Xenopus tropicalis: one gene and its partners. The protein of the gene in region 6 interacts with the protein of the main gene of each other region in a pairwise test. Links are inferred from orthologs where the notes say so. Each region holds a gene or a part of one and is shown on either strand. Other genes may lie near its edges. The genes, in order: crnkl1, akap6, exoc7, akap9, sfr1, cdc5l and myt1l.

Region 1 (3,500 bases), about 110 Mb from region 6:
GATAACATTAGGAAGAACAGGACGGTTATTAGTAACTGGATAAAATATGCACAATGGGAGGAAAGTCTAAAGGAAATTCAGAGGTATTCACTTTTTTAATTAAATTGGCATAGATGGCTTAAAATTAAATTTACGCTTATTAATGATTTGAATTTTTTTTCTTGCTTTTAGGGCACGGTCTATATACGAACGTGCTTTAGATGTGGATTACAGAAATATTACACTATGGCTGAAGTATGCAGAGATGGAGATGAAGAGCCGCCAGGTTAATCATGCACGAAATATCTGGGACAGAGCAATCACTACCCTACCCAGGGTCAATCAGTTCTGGTAGGTTTGTCACTTTTCAAAGGAAAGACTATGCTGATTTATACATATAGGTAACCAAAAATAATTAGAAATATATGGAGTTATGGGGGTAACTTTTTAGTAAAGGATTTTGTGTTATAGGAGTGCTGCAACTTAAGGTCGATAATCCCTATGTACAATGTAGATAATATGTAGCTTGTTTCTGTCGTGATTTTATGTCCTTTAGAAAATTGATTGTGCTGTAGCATAAGAAATGTTTTGACCTTCGAGTAATAAAAGACAGTGCTTTGATGTTTGAAGGTACAAGTATACCTATATGGAAGAGATGCTCGGAAATGTGGCTGGAACGCGGCAGGTTTTTGAACGTTGGATGGAGTGGCAACCTGAGGAGCAAGCTTGGCATTCTTACATCAACTTTGAGCTCAGATACAAAGAGGTGGACCGGGCCAGGTCTATTTATGAGAGATATATCCTTTGTGTATAAATGTGATAAGTTACTATGTTAAGAAATTCTTTAGAGTGGGTGCTGTGATGTACAATAATGCCAACATTGCAACTAAAACCTATTTAGGGTTCAAGGGTTTCCGATATGCGATCCCTTACCTGTACAAAGTAAAAACATAAATATCACAGAAAATTTGATTCTTTAACATCTGTGTACTTGTAATTGTGCACCCTGATGTGAAGAACTGGATCAAATATGCTCGCTTTGAAGAGAAGCACGGTTATATTGCCCACGCACGAAAAGTTTATGAAAGGTCCGTGGAATTCTTCGGGGAAGATCACATGGATGAAAACCTGTATGTTTCATTTGCTAAATTTGAAGAGCATCAAAAAGAAGTGAGTTTTAATTTACTTTAGCCAAGCTGTGTTATTTTAAACTGTATTAAATTGGGAGACATCAATGGGAGCACATTTAATGAATTTGTCAAGGCTCTGTATATGTCAGTAATTGACCCTAGCAACTGTTTTCAGCTCCTTATCTTCTCCCTTTCCTGTGAGGTTAGATGTAGCTACTACTGTCTTATTGCATTAGAATAGGTTTAAAATCAAGTTTCTCTACATAAAAATGTGTTTACTCTTCCAATTTGTTTTAATTCTAAAAACTGCCACATTCCCAACAAACGGGTGAAATAGAATGTAATTTAGGTCCAAGGAGACCAGCCTGGGATGATGATGTGCTGTTTGTCATCTGGTGATAGAAGATGCAGATGACATCTGTAACTGTGTTAAAGTTCCAACAGGATTACATCCTATTCAGCATGTTTATTGTTCTCTACACAGTTTGAAAGAGTCCGTGTCATCTATAAATATGCTTTGGACAGAATATCAAAGCAACAGGCCCAAGAGTTATTCAAGAATTACACTATTTTTGAGAAGAAATATGGTGACCGGAGAGGTATTGAAGATATTATAGTCAACAAACGGAGGTTCCAGTATGAAGAAGAAGTAAAGGTAAGGGAGCAATATTTTATGCAACACAGAAAACACAACTAGGAGTAAGCTTGCAAAGACTAAAGCTATTTAGTTGACCAGGGTCAAGTAGGCTATACACGTACTTATAGTACTTAAACCAATTTAGGGTGGTTCTAGGCATTTGAACTGTTTTTAGTCTGTTTACTGCTAGATAATGTTGTTAGGAACTCTATTCTAGCAACGGAGCAATGTGTGTATAGTTTTAAGTAGATTTAACCGATTGCCTGCCATAGATCAAATAATCTTAAGTGCCAGCAGTCAAGAAGCTGACCTCAAACACTACAGATTTTTCTTTTCTTGATGTGTGTGACTGGCAACATGCCGCAGGTTAATTGCTTTTGAAAGTGACCGACCGACTTGCCCCTCTATCATTACTTTTATGGTGATAGTAAATCAGTACCCAAACACTGCTCTGCCCATAAGTTTAATGTGAAAGATCAGTTTAGCACACATGGCCCACAGTAAATAGAAATACTGACTGGCACCACAAAACTGTTTTGTTTTTTTTTGTTTTTTTAACATGTTTCTTATGGCATAACCTGAACAGTAGTCCTTGGGTAGTTTCCATTTCTTTGCATATTACAGTATATAAATTATTTTGAGCTTGCATAGTTTTTCTAGTCTGCACTGCACTATTTTTTGTATAGGATAGAAACAGAATAGGAAGTAACAAACACTTGTGCTGTCCGAATGTTTGTGACACAATGAAATGAGCTTTAAATATGTTCGTAATGAATAACACAGCTGCAGTTGGTCACATCTCATGCCAGAAGAGCAATTCAGCAATAGGTAACAAAATGGCACAAGATGGAGAAATCACTTGATAAATATACAAATGTCTTTCTCCCCAGGCAAATCCTCATAATTACGATGCTTGGTTTGATTATCTGCGGCTGGTTGAAAGTGATGCTGATCCTGACACAGTTCGAGAAGTTTATGAACGGGCTATTGCCAATGTCCCACCTACAAAGGAGAAGAGACACTGGAAGAGATACATTTATCTGTGGATAAACTATGCCTTGTATGAGGAGCTAGAAGCAAAGGTGAAAAAAATTGTAATCCACAAGAAACTCTTGTAACTGTGTAATAACCTAGCATCCTGCGCGCACCAGACATTCTTTGTCTGCATATTTACATTGAATTACACTGCACATTTTTGCCCGCTAGATGGCAGTTGTGTGTCAGACATCTCTTAATGCAGAAAACAGTCTGAAAAACATAGATCATATACACTTTATAAAGTGTGATTATTATGACTGGATCTGTTGCATTTCCTTTTATAAAAGCAGCGTGTTATAGGAAAAAAAGGAATAACCCTAAACCAAACCAAATTTTTTTTCACTTAGCTAATGGACAGATTTTAATGGTTTTTTTACATACTTTGAATTTCAGGACCCAGAGAGAACAAGGCAAGTCTACCAGGCCTGCTTAGAACTAATCCCTCACAAAAAAGTAAGAGTCTTTGTAATTGTTTGTTTTCCATGAGCCTTATGTCATTTTACGAACTAAATTCTAGTCCTAAATTTGAGGATTTGCCTGTAGCTAGGCAGAACAGCCCACTCTTCAGCCGCTGTGCACAACACCAGGTAGGGGTGAATGCTGATCTGCCTCACGTGATAGTAATGATCTCTGCACAGGAGTGAGAGATTTTGTTGTTTTAATTATGTCTTCAGCCATCTTGAATTTTAACTTAAAATATTAGGGCTCTTACTGCT
Region 2 (4,004 bases), on a different chromosome or scaffold from region 6:
AAATTTTTTAACCTGCCCAATTTCAGTCCAGGCCCGTCGTTTGTGCCCCTACACGGGCCGATAAGCTGCCGAATCGGTCTAAGGGACCCGATATTGCCAGCTACAATCGGCCCATGTATGGGCACCTTTAGGCCATACCAGAGCCCTTGTCACTTAGGGCTCACTCACACAATTTGGGGCACAATTTACTTTAGTGTAGTGCAAGATGCAAAGTGCAAAAACACAATCCCCCATGGTAATTGCACTTTCCACCCTGCACATTGAAAAATATACACAAAACAGAGTTCAGAGACCTGCATTTCCCCTGCATGTGATAGTGCTGTATTGATGAGGGGTGGGCAGGGAGAGACATTCCCTCTCCCATACCTTATCCATTTCCTAATTTCCCTAATTACCTCATTAAAGTTAGGGAGTGCTGGTGAGTGCAGTCTACAGCAGAGCTCTGTATGCACTACATTTCCCATCAAGAACTAGGCACAGAGGGAGGCCAGACTCTGGACTTAAGGTGCCACTTAGCCCTCTTCCACTCACCTCTGAGGACAAAGTTAATTACTCCTTAGATGTAGACAGTGCTACATGTAAAGGTTTCATATAGATCTGCGGTGGAAATAACTAAGGGTTGATGAAAATAGTCCTTGACCAGAGCCCACCAGGAATGCTCTGGTACTTTGGCAGGTCAGTCTGACCCTTTCTTCCCCAGGATATAAATCAAACACTATTTAGGCTGCTGCCACAAGAAAAATAGTAAATACATAAAAAAGCATTAGCTGCAACAGTTGCACATTTAGCAGAAAAAAAACATTAGGAAATAGTAAGGTAACATTCTAATACATTGCACAACAAAGGAGTTACACATTCTGCAGAGGGATTCTTAGCACATCTGAAAGGGAGTGAAAGGGATCCCCAGGGTGGGATCCTATTCTCGCCTGCCCCTTCGTATCAGGAAGCTTTTTTTCTACACCCCAGCTCCGCAGAGGGAGAGGGAAAATCAATACTGAGAGCAAGCCAAACTGATCCGGCCCTTTAATTCAGAGCTTTAAGGGGAACGCCCTATGGCCAGCAGAACTACGGAGGCCACAATGCAATGAAAGGCAATCTCTGCCTGCTACTATTATAGCACAACACCACACATGACATAACACAATGCCTGGCAAATTACTTACACTTCATAAGAACGGAACACAGACATATGGCTAGGCATAAAATTATAGTAAATACTGCATCTTGTCCAGCATCTCAACACCATAAAAAGAAGGGATAATGGCTTGAAAGACTGTATTGCTGCATTCTATTACCTGGGGTTACATCTGTCATTTGTGTCATTTGCCCATTTTTACCTATAAGTATAATGGATTTTTTTTCTAAGATGGTGCTTGGAAAGGCAATGAATATTATATACCAAGATAGCTGTTAGCTCAGGGGTGTCCAAACTATGTACTCCCTGATAATTGAAAGGGTTTCTGAGAGTTGTAGTTCAGCTGGAAGGCCACAGGCTGGATATATTTAGGTAGTTGAAGTGGTAAATCAATGCAGTAAGGCCTTGCAGCTTATTTACTCAAAGAGGCAAAGAAATATACTGATTGTTGTGTTGCCAATACATACCCAGTGGACATGCAGTGTGTAGGTTATTTGTGTGTCTGCCTTGTGACTCGTGTTCTGTTTCCTACAAGTATGTGCCATTAATCATGAGCTCCCCTGGGAAAATAATTATAATGGCATATCTAGAGTGCACATTTTCTGAGACAGAGCCTTTCCCTAAATGAGTCCCTTTCCCTAAATAATTTATTCCAGTTCAACTTCTTTTTGTTGGCTGTTAAAGCAGTGTCTTTAGGATTTTTTGGTTCTGGTCAACCATATGGTTGGACCCCCTTAGCTCATAACAAGGTCACAGACATATAAACACATTGATACCCAAATAAGTAAATAAGAATTCAGAGGGCACCAACTGGACTAGGGTACCCCTTAGACTCCAGTAAGGTAGCCTTTTCCATAGCATTTAAATTCATTCCTCCATGCAGATGTACAGCACATATCTATATACACTGTAGTTTGTAACTTTGACAATTAAATATGCTTTGTAGTATTGTAGTAGGCATTCTTGTGGATCCATGATTAAAACAACATTCTCAGTGCCTCTAGAACTGATCAATAAACATTGTTTACGTTTACACATGATCGTGAGATCTTTATTAGGCACTGACGTTTACTATAACAGGGATCATAATAAATACCAAGTAAGGGAACATGATCACACGTATATATAGAAATAAGTGGTATGCTTGTGCATGTGTGTATTTAAATATATATATATTTATATTTATATGCACACACAGGAACTGAACTGTAAGCAAGAAATTCTCCCACTGGAATATGTATATATGTTGGTGTGTGTGTGTATATACATAGAGAGAGAGAAGTAGAGTATGAGAGAGGTAAGAGAACAGATATGTGCTTGTGTTCTATATATATATGTTTGTGTGTGTGAGAGAGAATATTGTGCTCTATACATGCCTGTCTGTTTCCTTTGACAGAGGCCTTTGTCTCCTAGTCTGCATATCATGGGCCTGTATGTATTGTATTCATCCTCCTCCCATTCTCCCTAGGCTACCGGGTGGGTACCACTCCTCAGTGGGCTCCGGCAAGATAGTCAGAGCAACCTGCATCCATCACAACATACTCTCCAGGATCGGCCCATGGTCTTGGAAGAACTCACCTCCTCTCGGGCTGCGCACGCTGCGTCTGAGGCTTTGGGCGGAGAGCGGCTGTTCCTGTGACCCGCTGTATGATGCTGCGAGATCGACTCAGATGATGCTGCTCATTAGGGTTGCAGTTGCCGTGGAAACCTGGGATGTGATGGAGAGAAAAGGGGTGGGAGGACGGTTAATCCTTGGGATGATGGGATGTAACCTGAGACCAGCATTTAACCTTCTCACTGCTGGGCTGCCAGTCATGAAAATCAATTGTATGGGAACACATTAAAAAAAAGGGTGGTGCCATGTAAAGTGGTACAGAGATTAAACTATAAATATCAGGATGCCCAGATGCAATCCCACAATAAAGGGATGCTACTGCTGCTTCCTTAACCATTCAGAACACAATGACCTGACAGCTGGCAGCAGAAGTGAATCGAGTGGCAAAAGCACTCAAATAAAAGGGGTGAGCTAAAAAATAGGTGCTGCGTTATTCAGAATGAGGGCGTATGACTAGGCAGGAAGGATGCTGCTGGCTCCATTATTAGATCTGAGCTAATTCTGTGATAAGGAGCTCATTACCAAAGACTTTGTCATCATTTACAAAAAGGCAGGAATGCCATTAACTCTTGACTAACCTGCCCAAGGCACATAATAGTCATGGGAGAAGCAGTCTCAGCAGGCCCCTGTGAGCGCAGGCTGTGCAGTCTCTGCTTTTGCTCCTGCCTATACATACTGTTTGTATACATTAAATTGCCAGACCCCATAAATGACAGCCTGTATTTTCTAGAATGTGCTGAATGGAGAAACCATACATTCAATGTAAAGAAACATGGGCCATTAGCTCTTATCATTTCTTGTGTTTCTTTTGTTCTTAGTAGAATACAATGGACCTGCAAACACTTTACACAGGATAAATAATAGTGACACAGTGCAAAGGGTCTCTGTCCAGGGTGCTGAGGGGAATATAAAGTAAATGGGCCAATTTCAGCTGCCGATATTGGTCCTTTAGAGCGATTTGGAAGCTTATATGCCATGGATGGGCACCAACGACAGGCCTCCACAATCGACATATGGCCTGAATTGGACAGATCTCAATCGGACAGGTTTGATTCTTCCGTTGGGAAAGGTTCGATTTTTCTGTCAGATCAGGGGCTGCATCAGTTTGTTGATGCGGTCCCCGCCTATAGCCGCCATTTTAATTTGATTGTTCGTCCCTAGGTCCCAAAGACTAAATTAGTCTAGTAGTTGGGCATGTCGGGAGAAGATCCTCGCCAAGCGAGCAGATCTTACCGTGTATGGCCGCCTTTAGAT
Region 3 (4,042 bases), on a different chromosome or scaffold from region 6:
TGCCTGACCTGTCTCCTTGCCTGACCTGTCTCCTTGCCTGACCTGTCTCTTTGCCTGTCTCCTTGCCTGACCTGTCTCCTTGCCTGACCTGTCTCGTCTCCTTGCCTGACCTGTCTCCTTGCCTGACCTGTCTCTTTGCCTGACCTGTCTCCTTGCCTGACCTGTCTCTTTGCCTGACCTGTCTCCTTGCCTGACCTGTCTCTTTGCCTGACCTGTCTCTTTGCCTGACCTGTTTCCTTGCCTGACCTGTCTCTTTGCCTGACCTGTCTCTTTGCCTGACCTGTCTCCTTGCCTGACCTGTCTCTTTGCCTGACCTGTCTCTTTGCCTGACCTGTCTCCTTGCCTGACCTGTCTCTTTGCCTGACCTGTCTCCTTGCCTGACCTGTCTCTTTGCCTGACCTGTCTCTTTGCCTGACCTGTCTCCTTGCCTGACCTGTCTCTTTGCCTGTCTCCTTGCCTGACCTGTCTCTTTGCCTGTCTCCTTGCCTGACCTGTCTCCTTGCCTGACCTGTCTCTTTGCCTGACCTGTCTCCTTGCCTGACCTGTCTCTTTGCCTGACCTGTCTCCTTGCCTGACCTGTCTCTTTGCCTGACCTGTCTCCTTGCCTGACCTGTCTCTTTGCCTGACCTGTCTCCTTGCCTGACCTGTCTCCTTGCCTGACCTGTCTCTTTGCCTGTCTCCTTGCCTGACCTGTCTCTTTGCCTGACCTGTCTCTCCCAGCTGACTTGCATGTAGGAATGGAAGTCCTTTACATACAAAATGCATTAGTGATAACCTGTATCTCAAAGACTGTCTCACCAAGAGTCTTTCATGACTGAACATGAGTCTCATTTACTCATTTACTATACATGAACGTATATATTGGCCATTTTCCTCACAAAGCATATATGCTATAGCTTTTCCCAAGCGTCTTCTTTTAAAATGTCGGCCTTATATACCGCGTCATAAAAGTATTCAGTCTATTAAATATACATGTTGTTCTTAGAAATCTCCCCCCCATAAGTCATACTCTCATTTAATCACGACCTCAGTTAGTCGGCACAACTTCAACATGACTCAAATATGGCGCCTTAATTTGCCACCTCCAACATGGCGCCCCGTCCGCCGATTTCCAACTCCAATATGGCGCCGCGTTCTGAATGCTCCAATATGGCGGCCGCTCATTGGCTGAACGAGAGAAGCGTTTCCGGGCGGAAGTGAAGCATGTTGACATCTGATGTCAGAATCCGAAAGGAAGGGCGGAGGAGTTGAACCTAAAATATTTGGATATTAGCTGCAAATAATTTCTTAAGAAAAAATGATCCCCTCGGAGGATAGCTCCGCCAGGAAGAAGACTATAGAGGAAAAGCTTAAGCAGGTATTTTGTTTTGTTATTAAATCTCACATTAATGTGTGTCTGTCTGTCTATATTGTCTTTTACTATAAATGTCTTTCACTCTATCATCTATCTTTCTCCTATTCACTATTTATATATCTATCATGTCTTTTACTCTATCTATCTATCTATCTATCTATCTATCTATCTATCTATCATCTAACTTTCTATCTATCATCTATCTATGTATGTATCTATGTACCTATCTATTTATCTATCTATCTATCATCTATCTATGTATCTATCTATCTATCTATCTATTTATCTATCTATCATCTATCTATGTATGTATCTATGTACCTATCTATCTATCTATCTATCTATCTATCTATCTATCTATCATGTCTTATACGCTAAATGTCTCTATCTCACTCTGTCATCTATCTTTCACTCACTCACTCTATCTTTCTCCTATTCACTATCTATATATCTATCATGTCTTTTACTCTATCTATCTATCATGTATCTATCTATGTATCTATCTATCTATCTATCTATCATCTATCATGTCTTTTACGCTAAATGTCTTTCTCTCACTCTATCATCTATTTTTCACTCACTCACTCTATCTTTCTCCTATTCACTACCTATATGTCATGTCTTTTACTCTATCTATCTGTCTATATATCAGTCTTGGCCTGTAATTCAAAGACACTGGAGCGAGGTACTTCAATACATTAATGAGAAATTAGCTCTTTCGCTCCCCTAAACTATGCTTACTGGGAATAACAGGAGCCCTACAGCTCCGGTCTGACTCCAGGATGTGCTATTTACAATTGTTATATGATGCTAAAAAGGCAAAGCTAATGCAATGGAAATCTCTTGATCCCCCTGCTACAATACTGGCGAAAATTAGTAGATGATACACTTACCTATCTAGCACGAGGCTGCCTGGGAAAATTTGACGCTATATGGGACACTTGGTTAAACATATAAAATGTCTGACTATATATAAACTTGATTCTGTCAAAGTACACTAAACGCACTTGCCTCACCTTAGTTTTCTCCTAGCTTCTCTCTCTTACTCTGTAATTGTTTAAATATTTGTTTGAAAATTTCAAAATAAAAACTTTAAAAAAATAAATACATTTGCTACTCATTCAGAACTGATAGTGATGAAAAGCTGCTGAGAGAATGGATGTAAAGAGGAAATGAGAAAAAGAATGAAAATGGAAAACAGAAAGGGAGGAGCACATAACTGAAAAAAATAAAGGACTCACACAATGTATAACTGTTACAGAAAAAAAATTGTCTTTGATATGTGCGGGTTTTATACATGTCCCAAAGCTCACTTCCAACAGACATTTCCCTTTATCTTCCATGTTGTAGGAAGAGGAAACCTTAGCCTTCATCAAGGAGAGCCTGGAGAAGAGCGATCAGCTGACAAACAATATGGTGAGTGTAGCTATTAATATGGTGCTGGGAGTGTCGCTGTGCCCTAAGCTGATTTAGCATTGAAACACCTGTACAAGAATGGTGCTGGGGCAGTGGGGCAGTAGTGTAAGTGCTTCTGCCAGGGTGATTGTAAGCGGATATGTGGCTGCTGATAGAACAGTACAGTGCCCACAGGTGGGGGTATCCATAACAGAAAAATGGTTACATTATATCACCAATTGGCACAGTGTGACCTATGGCTTTCTCTTCAAGACATAAACACTTCCCACTAAGCCTCTATTTCTTTCTTTCTATCCCTTACACAGGTCTCCATCCTGTCTTCTTTTGAGAGTCGGCTGATGAAACTAGAGAATTCCATTATTCCCGTGCACAAACAAACAGAGACCCTGCAGCGGCTGCAGGAAAATGTCGATCGTACCCTGTCCTGCTTGGACCATGTCATCAGCTACTACCATGTTGCCACGGAAACTGAGCGCATCATCAAAGAAGGGTAATTTGTATTGAATTGCATAATAATACGGATATTCGTTCTAGGGCTTTCAACCTACTTGTTTGTATAGTGCAAGGGATAATGCCTTTGCTGCGTAAGGCACGCAGTTGAAAGCCGCCAGTATCTGGTAGAGATGTGTGTTTTCTTTCAGACCCTCGGGAAGGCTAGAGGAATACCTGGGCTGCATTGCAAAAATCCAGAAGGCTGTGGAATATTTTCAAGACAACAACCCAGACAGCCCTGAGTTAAACAGAGTGGTAAGTTCTTTGACACCCTGGAAGTGGTCCATTATATGTTTCACCATTATATGTTTCACCGCTTAGCTTGCAGCCTTTACCATAAAATATTTTTTTGCCGGTTCTATAGTAAGGACGGTGCTTACTAGTGTGGATGTCATGGTTTTCTTTTGCCTGTATTCTCGTAGAAATCCCTGTTCGAGAGGGGGAAGGAGTCTTTGGATACTGAGTTCCGGAGTCTCCTGCAGAGATACAGCAAACCGGTGCCCCCCATCCTCATTCTAGACCTGATTGGAACAGAGGAGGAGCTGGAGGGCCAGGAGGAGGCTGTTCTAGAACACCTACCTGAGGGAATCCTGCAGGATGTCATACGCATCTCTAAATGGCTGGTGGAGTACGGGAGGAACCAGGGTGAGAAGTTGGGTCACTCTTAGAACAGCAAACCCAAAACCTCCAACATCTCTCACTGCTCAACACCTACAAGTCCATATTCACTTCCCTTTGTCTCACTTCATTTGTTTCTCATTCTTAACCCCACCTGCGATC
Region 4 (4,170 bases), on a different chromosome or scaffold from region 6:
CAACAACACTATACATTGGCACCAATAGGTCTTTGCACAACTATAAGGTTGATTAGCATTTTTTAAAATTTGCACTATAAGTTTGATTGAGGTGTGTTTACTAATCAGAATTGAGAAATTACTACACTACATATATATTTTTTTCTCTCTTTCTTTCTTTACCTCTTTTCTCTCTTCTTTCTTTGCTCTTTTTCTTCCCTTCCCTGCACATTTGCACCGGTTCACAGCATTAATAAGACTGCTACCATCCCCTCGATGTCTAAATACATTCGGTTTCTGTAACCCTTTTATTGAAAGTGATAAAGCTACCAACTGTAAACGGAACTTAAACACTGTTTTTCAGTAAAATGTATTCTCACTGTAAGCACACTGCCTCCAGTATCTGCATATTTGTATTTATACCCATGAGTAATTACTGCAATATTGCTTGTCAACAATAGCAACAGTAACCATAGTGGTCATACGCAGATCTCTTTTCTGTAGAGCTACTTCTGAGTTCAAGCCCATCACATATGGGATAATTCTTTATGTTTACCTTAATGGAACATAATATGAAGCCTCCTACAAACACTAGCTAAAAAATACGCTTTGATGCTATATACAAAGGTACTTGAACCCATAAACACTCCTTTGCATCTTGAAAAGAACACCAGTGTGCCCATTCAACCTGTTCTGACTCTGCACAAATGAACTGTACAAAATAATTCCAGGGTTCTCTTATAGGTTTTGTGAGCTAAATTACTATGAGCTAAAATTCCTCCTCATACAGCGATCACATATTGCTTTGTCAGAGGGGCCCACTGGGAGTTCTGGGAGTGCTCAAATAACTGGAATGTAAGAGGTGGGTAGAGACATCATCAATAAATACAGTTCAGATAGAGTAAGTACCGTTGCATTAAAGTAGTTCTGGTAAGAGTAATGGTACCTATATGATGCACCATATTCACAGCAGGGATTGGCCCTTGCTAAATGTTTTCAATGCAAAAACATTAGATGATTGGTTTGCATTGTAAACCAACAGCAATAACAGAGCATAAAGGTAAACTTGACAGATGTGTCTTTGTCTAACCTCAACTACTATATATCCAAAGTCATGCTATTGTTATAGTATACCATTTAAATTTTAGAGACAAAATAACTTTTTTAAGTAATAATTACAATTTAAAGAAAATATTACACTTAAATACCACGTTGTAAGAAAAGATTTCTCATTATAAGGACATGTGCTGGTTAAGTATAGCTCACATGCTAGATTGTCTTTGTTCTGTCTGTTTTGCACACAATGCCTTGGTGTGGGCAGTGCCCCTTTAAGTGTCTGGGAACTGCAGCAGCGCAACAGCAGCTGTCAACTCCTAGTTCTGCCACTGCTGCAATCGGTGCCGCCCCCACTGACTTCTCTCGCCGCTGCCGGGCGCTGGGGTGACGTCAGAGGAGTGCGCCGAATGTTTACGTGGAGATGGGAGAGAGCGGTAGGCGCTGTAGCTAACGCTGCGCATTGCTGTGTGTGTCTGTACAGGCGCAGGCATGGAGGAGGAGGACCAGGAGAGGAAGAGGAAGCTGGAGGCCGGCAAGGCTAAGGTAAGGGAATGTGGGGAGGCTTTGTGTCTGTGTGTGTGTCTCCCTCTGACAGCTGTCACTGGGGAAGGGGGGCTTCCATTGTTTGCATATTCCTGGCGTGCTGTGTCTGTGCGAGCTGTCCCGCCGCCCTGTTTGTCTGGGTGCCACCCTGCCATTCTGATGTGTCTATGTCACTGGCTCCATGTGTCACCTTCCAACCTCCTGTGTGTGTGTATGGCACCTTACAGCATTCTGTCCATGTGTCACCTTCCAACCTCCTGTGTGTGTGTATGGCACCTTACAGCATTCTGTCCATGTGTCACCTTCCAACCTCCTGTGTGTGTGTATGGCACCTTACAGCATTCTGTCCATGTGTCACCTTCCAACCTCCTGTGTGTGTGTATGGCACCTTACAGCATTCTGTCCATGTGTCACCATCCAACCTCCTGTGTGTGTGTATGGCACCTTACAGCATTCTGTCCATGTGTCACCTTCCAACCTCCTGTGTGTGTGTATGGCACCTTACAGCATTCTGTCCATGTGTCACCTTCCAACCTCCTGTGTGTGTGTATGGCACCTTGCAGCATTCTGTCCATGTGTCACCATCCAACCTCCTGTGTGTGTGTATGGCACCTTACAGCATTCTGTCCATGTGTCACCATCCAACCTCCTGTGTGTGTGTATGGCACCTTACAGCATTCTGTCCATGTGTCACCTTCCAACCTCCTGTGTGTGTGTATGGCACCTTACAGCATTCTGTCCATGTGTCACCTTCCAACCTCCTGTGTGTGTGTATGGCACCTTACAGCATTCTGTCCATGTGTCACCATCCAACCTCCTGTGTGTGTGTATGGCACCTTACAGCATTCTGTCCATGTGTCACCATCCAACCTCCTGTGTGTGTGTATGGCACCTTACAGCATTCTGTCCATGTGTCACCATCCAACCTCCTGTGTGTGTATGGCACCTTACAGCATTCTGTCCATGTGTCACCATCCAACCTCCTGTGTGTGTGCATGGCACCTTACAGCATTCTGTCCATGTGTCACTATCCAACCTCCTGTGTGTGTATGGCACCTTACAGCATTCTGTCCATGTGTCACCATCCAACCTCCTGTGTGTGTGTATGGCACCTTACAGCATTCTGTCCATGTGTCACCTTCCAACCTCCTGTGTGTGTGTATGGCACCTTACAGCATTCTGTCCATGTGTCACTATCCAACCTCCTTTGTGTGTGTATGGCACCTTACAGCATTCTGTCCTTGTGTCACCATCCAACCTCCTGTGTGTGTGTATGGCACCTTACAGCATTCTGTCCATGTGTCACCATCCAACCGCCTGTGTGTGTATGGCACCTTACAGCATTCTGTCCATGTGTCACCATCCAACCTCCTGTGTGTGCATGGCACCTTACAGCATTCTGTCCATGTGTCACTATGCCTTGCCATTAGCCACATTGTGCACATGTCACCCAAACATTCTACCTATGAGCCACCTTGTGCATGTATCACTCTATGTACCCTGGGGCCTTGTACCATTCCCTTCACTTGTGCATGTCTCTGTGCATCATTGTGGTACTTGCTTCACATCACTTTGCTGCTTGGTGCAACTGGTTTCTTGTGTCTCTGTGTGCTTTTGGTGTGTCTGGATCCTGTTTGCCTATTATGTTAAGTGCAGTGTATGTTTCACTTTGTGGTATTATATGTTTGTGTGCAGCTTCTGTGTCAGTATGTGCACAAAATGATACACATTCAGTGGAATACTTAATAGTTTTTAAACCCTCAACTATACAAATTGACTTCTATTTAGAATGTGTATCGTGCTTAAATCACTTTTTTTATCGGTGTTAATTTTACATGTATACCATGGGTAAGTGTTGTAGGGTGCGTAATTGTGTATCTGTTGAAGAGAAATACTTAAAAATAAACACACATTTATACCCACATATATGCCAAATGGCAGGTACATAGAATGTATGTGTACTTAAATAACTTTTTTCATTGGTGTAAGGTTTTTTGCATGCCATGGATTAGTGTTGTAGTGTGTGCATACAGAATATAGGTGCGAGTGTATGTACTTGTGTGTCTGTTTTCTTCCTATTTAGGTATACTTTTAATCAAGACACATTTATACCCACAACTGTATAAAATGGCTTGTATTTGGAAAGTGTATTTTGCTTAAATCACTTTTTCCATTGGTGTCAATTTCACATGTATACCATGGGTTACTGTTGTAGTGTTTGCATTCTGAATATAAATATGTGTATTTTTTCTTGCTGCAGAGCAACACATACCCACAGCTGTATAAAATAGTATATATTTTTGCATTGTGCATAAAGCACCCATGTCTATGCCAGGAGTTAGTGTGTGTGTGTGTGTGCCCATAAACAGTGCATGTTATTGCATGTCAGTGTAACAATAAATTATGCTCCCATATTTACCGTTTACTGCTTTCTGTGCTTCTTGGGTTAAATGCCTGTTTTTATTCGCTGAAAGTGTTGTGTATTCAGTGCAGCTACTTTGTAACACTGTATAGTTGTGCATATTTGCTAAAAGGACAATGTGTATGTGTTTTACGAAAGCATAAATCGTATATAGCCCTTCTCCTTTTTTA
Region 5 (4,088 bases), on a different chromosome or scaffold from region 6:
AGCTTTGCAAATATATGGTTTGACACAGAGAGACTGTGGGCTTTATGGGGCAGGGACTTCCTCGTGACACTTAGCGGTTGATTCACTAAAGTGCGTTAAAACGAGCACTATTTATAGCATGCGGTAAAAATTTTATCGCTTCTTATTTTTTGCGACTTAACGCACGATTCACTAAAAGGACAGGCGTCATAATTAAGACTTTTAAGCATTTTAACGCAAAGAACAAGCATTTTGCATTAATTCCCGCCACGTGCGTTATTTCCCGCTGCGTGATATATTTTCGCCTGCTTGCTATATTAGCGCACAATTTTACGCACGTAACCATTACTTTCGGAAAACTACTTTTCTGAAAATGACCATTTCCCTGAAAATTGGAGGATGCATCACTTTAGGGCCAACACATACTTGAAAAAATCCCACTGCAAAGTCCATGTTGTGTTGCTAAAAGCTCACGAACCACAATTTTCTTTAAGTACTGCCTGCCCCAAATAGGTGTTAATTTTCGCACAGACTAATGCGATATTTAGCGCATTTAATGCTTTATATGTGTTTGTGACTCATGCGCTAGTATTATATCTATGCGAGAATTAACGCAATGCGAGGTAAATAATGCATGCAATAGTGCGTTTTTTTGCGCATGCGATATGCGACTTTGATTAATCAGTACTTATTTATTGTGTGCTTTTTAACGCAAAGAAGCATGCGAATCGGCCCCTTAATGTCTTATACTTATTTATTATGTTTGTTCTCCCTGTGTACTTTTCTATATTGTACATTTTTACAATATATTTTTACCTGTATCCTAGTAGCACTTTATAAATAAGGTTATGCATACATTTTAGAATTTGTTAGAATGTGTACATTTAAGAAATATAGCATTTTCCTCAACCTAAATTCCTTTTTTCCTCAAGTTAAATTACTTGTTTGGTTCTTGCAATTTAAGCTATGTCAGCTTCAGGTGTACTGGACACGGCCACATTTTTTATATAGGCACAAGAAGGCCAGTGCTTAGGGGAGACGCCATTGTGAGCCTACATAAGAAAAAGCTTCCCCTATCTTTTGCAAGTCCATGTGATGACTGGGCAGAGGACTGGTGCCTATGGCACTGCCACACCTAAATATACCTCTGGCTGTACTTTGAAAATAAGGTATTATACAGCCATGACTTTTTGGTCTATACAAGTCAGAAATCTCCATCTATCTATATTTATTTTCCAAATCATTTGTATCTTTTTAACCATATCATAAAATGTGTTGATCAATTTTTCAATATGAAAAATATGTTTATATGTAAAAGTCAGATTCTTGTCCTCAAAAAAAAAAAAAAAACAAAGAAATACATATTTTAATATACTAAAATTTTCCCCAGAAGATTACCCCAAAGTGAAAAAACACAAAGTGTAAACAGTGGCCCTGCTGAAAGAGTCAAAAAGCCTTTAATTAGGTTTTTTTGCACAAACCACAACACAGTGTTGTCTGTACCTAAAATATGATCTTATCCCTATCTCTGTTAGGCTAATGGTACATGGGGCTTTTTGTCTACCACTGTATCCAGTTTTAAGAACAAGGGAATCTGAGGTTATTGGGTGTGCTAATGTGTTAGAAATCCAATCACTATTTTTTTCCCTAGGCAATACTCCCTTTATGAAAAAGACTGAACCGGTTCAAGTGCCTTTCCACCATTCTGAGTACCTTTCACAGGCGTCGCTAGCACTGACTTCCATTTGCGCAAGTGCAGGACAGTTAAGTCAGAATATGTTACTCTGCTGCTAGTGTGCAAAGCCAAACAAGTGATACCGGGGAGGGAAGTAAAATGGCGGCCTGAGGGGATAGCAAACAAATTCACCGGGGTTCAGCAACACCTGTTAGCCTGCACACAAGCACTGAAGTCTGGTCTTTCGGCACTTGGTCTGCATCTGCCGGGGGCACTTTCCATTTGGCCCATGACTAAGTCCCCTAGGGCATGAGACGCGTGGGGTTTATGAAGATGTTTAATGCAACTTTTAATAAAAAGTCTTTTTACTTTAAAACTTTGTGACCCCTGTGGAGATTCCCGAGTGCCTATTTGCCCTTAGTGGAAGCCACTTTCCATTTCTTTTCCATTCCAATTAGTAGCGGTGACAGGCAAGTTTGCACTGGCAGTTTTCCATTGGATGCCAGCTCCCTGTATGCCATATTGTGATTCTCTATTACTATTATCATATTGTGCCCCTCAATAACTGTAATATACATTACTCTGACTGATGCCTGGTCTTCCCTGTCCCTACACACTGTACCTCATAGCCCTTTTGTATTGTAAACTCTAATGAGCAGAACCAACTACCCCCCTGTATTGCTCACTATTTCTATGTAATGTGCATGCCTCATGTATTATATCATCATATCCAATTTCCAAGAATAAACGGTACATCGAAGGACATCATATTAATCAATGATACCGGGGACTTATCTGTATTTAGCTTAAGTAACTAATACAGGGACGTTTTAGCAGACATGTCAGAGAGGCAACCATCATTCTCTCACAGTGTATATATGAGGAGCCGGGGATGAGGGTGAAATCCAGGCACCGCCAGGTTAAGGGAAGAAAGATCAAGTTATTCACTCGGCCAAACCTAATAAACCAAGTCGCAATACCGAGCCGCACACAGAGCCGCACACACACACACACAGCCGCACATACCTTCCTTACTTCCCGCCTACAAACTCTCTGCGTTCTGTTTACCTCCATGTAAAAGAAGGCGGGCTACTATTGCTTTCCCCTCCTCTGCGATCCCATTGGTTGCTTATAGACTAGCCCGACGCATGTGCGTAAAGGCTCCTCTCCCAGAGTTCCGTGCAAAAGTCTCCTCCCATTGGGCGGGGAAATGGCTAAACCCGGAAGTAGAAGTGAAGCCCGTACCTACTGTAGTGTATTTATTGATCTGCTCAGTTTATTGCGAGTTATTGAAAGGGGGAGGGGCAAGACAAAACAGACTTTGCTGCAATGGGTTCCCTGTAGTGCTGATAAAGCGTGGGAGGGGGGCAGGAGCTGACAGGTTGGGGTCGCACCTTTCCCTCTTTTATGCAGAAAATCCTGTGGCACTCTAGTAGTTTTTGCTCAGTAAAAAGGGTTTTATTTAGCCCATGTACATACAGGTGAGGCAATGGGCCCATCTTTTCTATGAACCCCCCCCTTCCTTTCTATCCGTCTCTAATGTCCTGTAATGTACTTATAAATAATAAAGTCCCCTTTCAAGTGCCTTATGTCCAGAGAAAACCCCCACACATTTACAGCCTCTCTCACAGTTTCTGTCATCATTTTTATTTCTAAATTACACTGTTTACATAGCAAATTATTCACTCTACCAACAAAATATATTTTTTTAGCTGTAATATTGGTGTGTAGGCGCCATCTCAGTGCATTGTGCCTGAGTCGGAGCTTTCAGAAGGAGCCAGCGTTACACATTGGAACTGCTTTCAGCTAACCTATTGTTTCTCCTACTCCCATGTAACTGGAGGAGTCCCAAGCCGGACTTGGATTTCTTACTATTGAGTGCTATTCTGATATCTACTAGAAGCTGCTATCTTGCTCCCTTCCCATTGTTCATCTGGGGGGGGGGGGGGGATATCACTCAAACTTGCAGCTTAGCAGTAAAGTGTGAATGAAGTTTATGAGAGCACAGGTCACATGACTGGAGCACCCTGGGAAATGAAGAATATGGCTAGCCCCATGTGAAATTTCAAAATTAAAAAAAGTCTGTGTTTTTGAAAAATGGATTTCAAGGTGTCTGCTCTCTTTCTCTTTGGCTGTATGGGGGTGATTTTTATGTGTTTCCCCCACCTACCCTTGAAAATGCAGGGCATGGTGCAAAAGAGTACAATGAGGCCTCTTGTCATTAGATGTTCCTGTAATGTGTTTCTGGGAGATCCTGGTTTAAGGGTAGGTGCAACGTGGGCTCAGGAAGCAGAGCATTCTGGCCAGAAGCTAAATATGGGGAAAATAAGCTTTAATTACCAATGAGGAATATACGCTGACAGTCACAGCACTGTACCCCTCTTCTTTAGAAAATGCACAAGACTTTCCATTGGAGCACTTTGCCTTCATGTTC
Region 6 (4,079 bases):
AAATTACTGGTCCTTTAACTAGCAAATGCTATGGTCAGAATCCCTAATAATCAGGTTTGGGCTGGTAAACTATACCTCAGTATGGGGTAAAAACAAGCAAAGGACACAATAGCGATTAAGAAAAAAACCCATATCAAATTCCTCTTCTGGTTAAGGGTACAGTTACTTCTTGCCTGATAGAATGGGAACGTATTCACACTGCTGTATCAGAAAACAACTGTTCAAACTGCTCAACAACAATTCAAATGTACATTTTCAGAATGAATGGTACGTACAGTAAATATTCATAGTGCTCAAGGCACTGGGCGGCTGTTCTTCCTATGATAGGAGCGATTGTCCTCCACTGAGTTGGCATCAGCTTGGCCAGATGAAGTAGTTTCTCCTCTTCTTCTCGGGACCATTCTGTCTTTTTGATGCTTGGGTCAAGCCATTCATACCTGTCACAGAGACATTAAACGAATTTAGCAACCAATGTTACTACAGATATTCAGAAGGGCACTTGGTAATTGTTAGCTTGTCTGCCAACAAATCTAAGTGAAAGCATGGAACTTAATTTGACTGTGATATCACTCTGTTTTTTGTTAAAGAGCCCCACACAACACAGAAATCCCTAATATACCTATCACTGAAATCTGTTCCGTCAAAAAGTAAAAATAAATACCATTTTTATATGCTGAAATCCAGCTGCAAAACAGTCCTTCTCTTTCTGCATCATTTGAAATCCTGGCAGGGGAGAAGGGACTAAAACACTGATGTTACAGATTGTAACAACTTCTCCACAGCTTACAGACAGCATGCAGGAACTACATAACCCACAATGCATTGCACTAGGATGTTCCTTTCCTTATTGACATCACGTGTGCAGCAGGGGATTGTGGGATTGGGAGGATGAAGGCTGAAGGCAGGCTGGGGACAGGCGACTACTGTTACATTTTATTTGAGTCACAAAGTAGCCAGCCAGATCAGCAGGGGAACAGGGGGCGGGGCTTAGGGAACTGTTCCAAACCATATTATTACATTAAAAACCATGAAAAGGCTGCATACTTTTAATTGATATATACTGCTTGAAATTATGTTTACTTTTTAAAAAACTTAAAATACTTTAAATGCTCATAGCAGAAGATTACACACTGAAACAATTTCCTAAATGTTTTCAGGGTGCAATATTGGGCTAATATATCAATATGTATGTATATAGGTATGTATGCATGTACATAGGTATGTATGTAGGTAGGTATGTATGTATGTATTGTAGCAATACATATTGCTACATGTATGTATACACATTTCTTCAAGGTGCATTTCTAGGTGTAACCCAAATTATCATTATTTATATAGCGCCATCAATATACGCAGAGCTTTACAGCCCAATGTTCAGTCACATGACCATGCCCTTCATTACAGACAATATGGATAGACTGTCAGTGCATTATGTGCATGTGTAACCCTTTCCATGCCTGCTTTGCCCATTCTCTTTACCCCCCCCCCCTTCCACCAATGCAGAATACCAGCTGTTGCGGGGCAGTTTATCTGGTTTCATATTAGAACAGGAACGTATGGAACGCTACGGGCCCGTGGCTATAATGGCCGGGACGTACCATCGGGCTTTGCACTGTTTGGCCGATTTCCTGTGCAGCAAGGAAGCAATACGAGACCACTGGTTTTTCCCATATTTCATAACAGCCGCTTTGAGGATTTCATCCTGAGAAAATAAAGAGGAAAGTGCGTTATAGTATATCAACACCACACATGAGAAGTGAGGGAGACATAGGGTACAGGGGTATCTTAGTATGAAGCAAAATGCATATATATATATATATATTTTTTTTTTTTTTTTTTTTTTTTTAAAGGTTTTGATGGATTTCCCTTCCCCTCTGTCCCTATCCATCTTTCAAAACGTAGGGCACTGAGCCCAATTTTATTTTTTTTTACTTTATATTACTTTTCTATTTAGACCATTCTTCTATTCACCTTCCACACCACTGCTTAGCTGCTAGGATGAAGTGGACCCTAGCAACCAGATAGCAGATGAAATTCAAAATTGGAGAGCTGCTGAACAAACAGCTTAATCATTTAAAATAAAAACCCCACATTAAAAATGAAGACTGAGACTATAATGCAAATAGCTAAGGCATAACCCCCAGTGGCTGCAGTCCATAGCAACCAATTGACAACCAATGCAATCTGCTGATTCGTTGCTATAGGAAAACACACCTTGGTTGGAATTCGATCACAAAACAATCTGGCGAGCAATGGGATGCTGGGAGTTGTAGTATAAGTTGGCCCACCTATATTGGCTTTCTCTACAGGCCATAGAGGCACATTGAACTAGTTACCTGCACCTAAATTACACTATTATTTCCTATAATTAAGCAGCTCAGCTTCACTCAAATACTCCTGTGCAATTGGTCAGCTTTACAATCCTGAAACACTAACAGGGAAAAGGCCAAAGCACAAGCTGGGACCCTGTGAACAACAACTCCCAGAATCCCCTGTTGGAAATATCAAGGCGCCCATGTGAGTTCATTGAGCCGCTACACAACGCCATAACCCCTCTCACCTCGGTGTTCCGCCACACCCCGCCTTTTATCATAATTCGCGGCATCCTGGCTGCTGGTTAGGGGCCCCGGGCCCGCACGGTGTAGCAAGGAGAGAAACGGGGAAAGCGGCCTCCGGCTTGTTGTGCAAAGTGACGCGCACACACACCAGCGTGCCCGCCGCTCTACTGCTAGTCACAGCGCATAGCGAACATACAGTAACTCCCCACAGCGGCCTCTGGTGGCTGGAGGTTAGCATTGCATGCGGAACAACTGCGCCCTTAGCGGTAGCGGAACAACATTTACCAGAATTCCCCGGCAAGTGAGAGGAATTCCCTGGCAAGAGAGAGGAGAGGCATTATGGGAGTTGTAGTTTATCAGCTGCAATAGTGTGAAGTAATTGTAAAAGTGGTAAAGGTAAGGTTAGGAGATACCCTTTATTAGTTAAGTCACCTGAGTAAGTAAACATTGCAAGCTTTGGAAGCACCCAGGCTATTTCAATGGCTAATATGGTAGAGGTTTAGGACCTGTTATTCAGAATGCTTAGGACCTGGGGTTTTCCTGATAAGGGATCTTTCTGTAATTTGAATCTCCATAACTTACGTCTGCTTAAAACCATTTAACCATTAAATAAACCCAATAGGGCTGTTCTGCCCCAATAAGGGGTAATTATATCTTAGTTGGGATCAAGTACAGGTATTGTTTTATTATTACAGAGAAAAGGGAATCAATTAACCATTAAATAAACCCAATAGGGCTGTTCTGCCCCCAATAAGGGGTAATTATATCTTAGTTGGGATCAAGTACAGGTATTGTTTTATTATTACAGAGAAAAGGGAATCATTTAACCATTAAATAAACCCAATAGGGCTGTTCTGCCCCCAATAGGGGTAATTATATCTTAGTTGGGATCAAGTACAAGTTACCGTTTTATTATAACAGAGAAAAGGGAATCATTTAACCATTAAATAAACCAAATAGGGCTGTTCTGCCCCCAATAAGGGATAATTATATCTTAGTTGGGATCAAGTACAGGTACTGTTTTATTATTACAGAGAAAAGGGAATCATTTAACCATTAAATAAACCCAATAGGGCTGTTCTGCCCCAATAAGGGGTAATTATATCTTAGTTGGGATCAAGTACAGGTACTGTTTTATTATTACAGAGAAAAGGGAATCATTTAACCATGAAATAAACCCAATAGGGCTGTTCTGCCCCCAATAAGGGGTAATTATATCTTAGTTGGGATCAAGTACAGGTACTGTTTTATTATTACAGAGAAAAGGGAATCATGTAACCATTAAATAAACCCAATAGGGCTGTTCTGCCCCCAATAAGGGGTAATTATATCTTAGTTGGGATCAAGTACAGGTACTGTTTTATTATTACAGAGAAAAGGGAATCATTTAACCATTGAAATAAACCCAATAGGGCTGTTCTGCCCCAATAAGGGGTAATTATATCTTAGTTGGGATCAAGTACAGGTACTGTTTTATTATTACAGAGAAAAGGGAATCATTTAACCAATAAATAAACCCAA
Region 7 (3,500 bases), about 14 Mb from region 6:
CATGAGCATCAGGTCCCTCAATACTGGCACAGAAATAAGATTTTGGCAGGATTCAAAGCTTGCCTTAATAACAGTTACCACAAAATGGTGCCTGTCTGCTTGCTGCAACTGTGAATTCCAGGGCTGAAGAAAATAAGATTCAACTAATTTATATGGTGTAAGTGAAGTTTATTTTGCTTGGCAAACACAATTGAAAACAATCTGGAATTATTTCTTAGGGTGACAGGTCCCCTTTAGCAGTAGTCTAACTTCCTAACATTCTATTTCCACCCTCTTGTTTACCCTTGTTTAGCCACAGCATTAATTCCAAGGCAACTGTATCTCCCAGTTTTGCCCTAGCTATGATCAGGAGTTGAAACTGGAACGTTCCTGCTTAGACCACATGTTTGTTATTGTTATATAAAATGACTGACTTTATTTATCTTTGTTTCAACGAAATGACCAAGTAAGAAACTGCAACATTATTCAAAATTAAAAAAAAAAAAATGTGTTGCCCAAAATGATTAAAAATCATTGTCATCAAAACCTCTTTCAAAAGCCAGCACTAACAATGCTTTGTGTGGTGCATGTGCATGACATGTCCAAGTTACATCATTATGTGACGCATGTGGGCGCATCCGTAATTTCGTAAATACCGTTTTCTGTGGCCACATGTTCATGTTGGCTGCATGGTATTCATCAACCAAGACATCAACTCTATATATTAATAGTCTAGAAAAAAAAATCAAATACATGGAGGCTAAGGGTGAGGATGAGAACCAGCTTGTTACCATCTGTTATTCCCCAGTGTTACATTCAATTGTGTGGCACTATATACGTGAAACTGGAATGAATTATAGTAGAATCTTTTACTTATAAATATGTTTCTTCGACAAACATTAACCGTTCCAACGAAATGAATTTTTTGGATGATGATATTATCCTGGGAAATTGTCTAAAGACACTGAGATTCTTTAAGTCAAATGCGGAATGATGTTTTTTTTTTGTTTGCTCTTATTTATTTTAGAATCTAGTAATTCTGATTTTACAATAAAAAGAGGTGGAATTTAAACACAAACATCACTGAAGGGTATCTGAAAAGGAAAATAAATCAAATGGCATTCTATTTTCAATGCTGAGCAGGGCTGGATGGCATAGAAGTTAGACCAGCCATAAGGCTATTCTAACAGTTCATCTAGTATCTCCAAAACGTTTCTAATTGATACACAATAACGCAAAAAAAAAAAACAAACGAATTGCTGAGTGATGTTAACACATCAAAATATAAACCAAGGAGTACAAACAAGGCCCCAGTATCAAGGGGAGTCACAGCAAATTTTCAAAAAACTCCATGGATAAAATTAAAAAAAAACTTCTATTAATCCATCATCTAAAATATATAAACTCAGCCTAATTTATACACATACATTGTTTGCTCATCGGAATCAGTTCCACCTCTTTTGCCTCATTCTCTGCCCCCTTTTCAGCTTCTGCTCCCTCCCACTAGGTACTGGACGAGCGCCCTGTTGCTTGCCAAGAACCCTGTGTTGATGAATACCAATTTCATGTAAGTTACACGGGAGGGGAGGTTGTGTGGTTTTTCCATGTAACTTACACGAAATTCAGCCTTTGAAGAATAAAAGTTATTCATAAACAGTCCATGAGTTTGTTCTTTTTATATATCAGCTAGATCAGTATCCCTCAATATCACTATAGACTATTAGAAGATTATAACTTAGCAGATTCACTTTTAATCCTGTCCAATGTGTCTGGAAGCCATTTTTGAAAGGGCATGTGTTGTCCACACACCCCAGGCTGGACAGGACTGATATAGGATGAGCATTAGAACATAGATACAGTTCTCGTTCATGTAAATGAAAGATAGTAAAATAAATGTCTGTTAACAGAACTAGAAGAGTACAGTTAATGTTTCACATAGTATTAACACAAAAAAGAATGATTACCTACAAAAGTAGCATAAAGTACTTTCCTCCTGTATAGCCAGCAATATTATTTTATAAATATTACAGACAAAATTTTTAGATAATTTGATAATGTTTGAAGATGAGGCATCACATGGATATAAAAAATGTAATGGATATTTTAACCTTAGGAGGTAATTGCTATAATTAGTGATAATTACTGTCATTGCTAAATGCAGTTGAAGGGGGAATAATTAGAGTGTTAAATAGATAAAAGTAAAGTCTAGCAAATTCTATCCAACCCCCTTCAGATTTAAAAACAGGGACCATTTTCTGTTTGTGGTAGGAAAGTTGACAAGATTTTTGTTTCATTTCAAGGTGTTGTTTATTATAAGGCCATCTTTCTAAGTAACAGCCACACACTCAAAATTCAACTACACGCCACTGCACATACTACACTCATACAAGTTTAGCTCAGAATTGTTTACGTCCCCCCAAAATGCACTCGTATATAAAAGTAAGCTAAAGTCACACTACAGGATTAGCCATTGGGGTTATCTGACAGGTAGCTGTAGATCCACACTCTGTATAACAAGCATTAATCAAGGCTTGTAACAATTATTTTCCATCGGAATCTCCTTTACCCAAAAGCATGTTCACATAAGTTAACAAATAATTAGACATCACACATTTACATTTGCATTAATGGTCATTTTTTACTAAACGCATGCTGTTATAACTATTGTTATATTATTTTTTGCACATATTGGCACTTTTTAGATTACCACCATGGAGAGCAACCTGAAGACAATTGAGGAAGAGAATAAAGCAATCGAACAGCAAAATGAGTCTCTTCTTCATGAGCTGGCCAATCTGAGCCAGTCTTTAATTAACAGTCTAGCTAATATCCAGCTGCCCCACATGGTAAGTAGTATAGTGTAGTATCATTACCTATGTATCTGCTGTCAAAATATTCATCTATATGCCTATTATTTTATACATTATTTTCTCAACATTTACAACATTCTGATGTTGTGACTTAACACATCAGATAATTTGATGATACTTTGAAACAATAAAGCTCTTGATGGAATTCCACATGCATTTTATTTTGACTTCTTGCTAATTGATTCATCATTTATTAAAACACAATTACTGTATTTGTTTGTTTGAGTTAAAGACTGCAGCTATAGACATCAAGAACTATAGTATAAAAATAACAATCAGGGCTGCCTATGTGGAAGCCTTCTAGCTAAATGTGTCTCTCTAAGGATATTTTGTGGTTCCCAACCTGCCCATTAGTAATATAATGTAATTGTGTGGAATTATAGTTTTAATATAAGTTCCTGGTCTGTGGTAGGAGGGGGTAATAAGGAATAATTAGTAATAAACACATTTTTTCACCAGGCATGGAAATTCCGCAATTTTCATTTCCTGGCGAAAAATTTCGCCCATCGCTACTGTTGACTTAAATGCATTTGACGTATATTTTTCTCTGTTTCACAAATTTTGTAGCAGTTTCCCAAATTTTTCAACAAAGCAAAATGGGACAAATTCACTAATCCCTAGGAATAATCACAGGAATACATGAGGAGTTGA

The links.
Region 1: the proteins of cdc5l (region 6) and crnkl1 interact in a two-hybrid assay, tested with the Homo sapiens proteins (2 studies listed by IntAct). The link is inferred for Xenopus tropicalis from reciprocal best matches to the Homo sapiens genes CDC5L and CRNKL1.
Region 2: the proteins of cdc5l (region 6) and akap6 interact in a two-hybrid assay, tested with the Homo sapiens proteins (2 studies listed by BioGRID and IntAct). The link is inferred for Xenopus tropicalis from reciprocal best matches to the Homo sapiens genes CDC5L and AKAP6.
Region 3: the proteins of cdc5l (region 6) and exoc7 interact in a two-hybrid assay, tested with the Homo sapiens proteins (2 studies listed by BioGRID and IntAct). The link is inferred for Xenopus tropicalis from reciprocal best matches to the Homo sapiens genes CDC5L and EXOC7.
Region 4: the proteins of cdc5l (region 6) and akap9 interact in a two-hybrid assay, tested with the Homo sapiens proteins (2 studies listed by BioGRID and IntAct). The link is inferred for Xenopus tropicalis from reciprocal best matches to the Homo sapiens genes CDC5L and AKAP9.
Region 5: the proteins of cdc5l (region 6) and sfr1 interact in a two-hybrid assay, tested with the Homo sapiens proteins (2 studies listed by BioGRID and IntAct). The link is inferred for Xenopus tropicalis from reciprocal best matches to the Homo sapiens genes CDC5L and SFR1.
Region 7: the proteins of cdc5l (region 6) and myt1l interact in a two-hybrid assay, tested with the Homo sapiens proteins (2 studies listed by BioGRID and IntAct). The link is inferred for Xenopus tropicalis from reciprocal best matches to the Homo sapiens genes CDC5L and MYT1L.

Annotation. Positions count from the first base shown.
Region 1 is NC_030681.2:36,930,659-36,934,158, forward strand, and holds part of crnkl1 (crooked neck-like protein 1), read left to right. Parts: coding exon 1-83; intron 84-171; coding exon 172-330; intron 331-609; coding exon 610-776; intron 777-970; coding exon 971-1,149; intron 1,150-1,593; coding exon 1,594-1,764; intron 1,765-2,636; coding exon 2,637-2,828; intron 2,829-3,177; coding exon 3,178-3,237; intron 3,238-3,500. UniProt on the Homo sapiens protein: Involved in pre-mRNA splicing process. As a component of the minor spliceosome, involved in the splicing of U12-type introns in pre-mRNAs.
Region 2 is NC_030684.2:113,436,969-113,440,972, reverse strand, and holds the start of akap6 (A-kinase anchor protein 6), read right to left. Parts: upstream 2,801-4,004; 5' UTR 2,714-2,800; intron 1-2,713. UniProt on the Homo sapiens protein: Binds to type II regulatory subunits of protein kinase A and anchors/targets them to the nuclear membrane or sarcoplasmic reticulum. May act as an adapter for assembling multiprotein complexes.
Region 3 is NC_030686.2:45,042,354-45,046,395, reverse strand, and holds the start of exoc7 (exocyst complex component 7), read left to right. Parts: upstream 1-1,242; 5' UTR 1,243-1,297; coding exon 1,298-1,357; intron 1,358-2,704; coding exon 2,705-2,770; intron 2,771-3,075; coding exon 3,076-3,260; intron 3,261-3,411; coding exon 3,412-3,517; intron 3,518-3,684; coding exon 3,685-3,907; intron 3,908-4,042. UniProt on the Homo sapiens protein: Component of the exocyst complex involved in the docking of exocytic vesicles with fusion sites on the plasma membrane.
Region 4 is NC_030682.2:31,455,244-31,459,413, forward strand, and holds the start of akap9 (A-kinase anchor protein 9), read left to right. Parts: upstream 1-1,370; 5' UTR 1,371-1,524; coding exon 1,525-1,578; intron 1,579-4,170. UniProt on the Homo sapiens protein: Scaffolding protein that assembles several protein kinases and phosphatases on the centrosome and Golgi apparatus. Required to maintain the integrity of the Golgi apparatus. Required for microtubule nucleation at the cis-side of the Golgi apparatus.
Region 5 is NC_030683.2:27,812,626-27,816,713, forward strand, and holds the start of sfr1 (swi5-dependent recombination DNA repair protein 1 homolog), read right to left. Parts: upstream 2,801-4,088; 5' UTR 2,723-2,800; exon of another isoform or gene 2,681-2,722; intron 1-2,680. UniProt on the Homo sapiens protein: Component of the SWI5-SFR1 complex, a complex required for double-strand break repair via homologous recombination. Acts as a transcriptional modulator for ESR1.
Region 6 is NC_030681.2:148,162,113-148,166,191, forward strand, and holds the start of cdc5l (cell division cycle 5-like protein), read right to left. Parts: upstream 2,801-4,079; 5' UTR 2,606-2,800; coding exon 2,561-2,605; intron 1,703-2,560; coding exon 1,599-1,702; intron 438-1,598; coding exon 276-437; intron 1-275.
Region 7 is NC_030681.2:134,540,656-134,544,155, reverse strand, and holds part of myt1l (myelin transcription factor 1-like protein), read left to right. Parts: intron 1-1,486; coding exon 1,487-1,546; intron 1,547-2,681; coding exon 2,682-2,825; intron 2,826-3,500. UniProt on the Homo sapiens protein: Transcription factor that plays a key role in neuronal differentiation by specifically repressing expression of non-neuronal genes during neuron differentiation.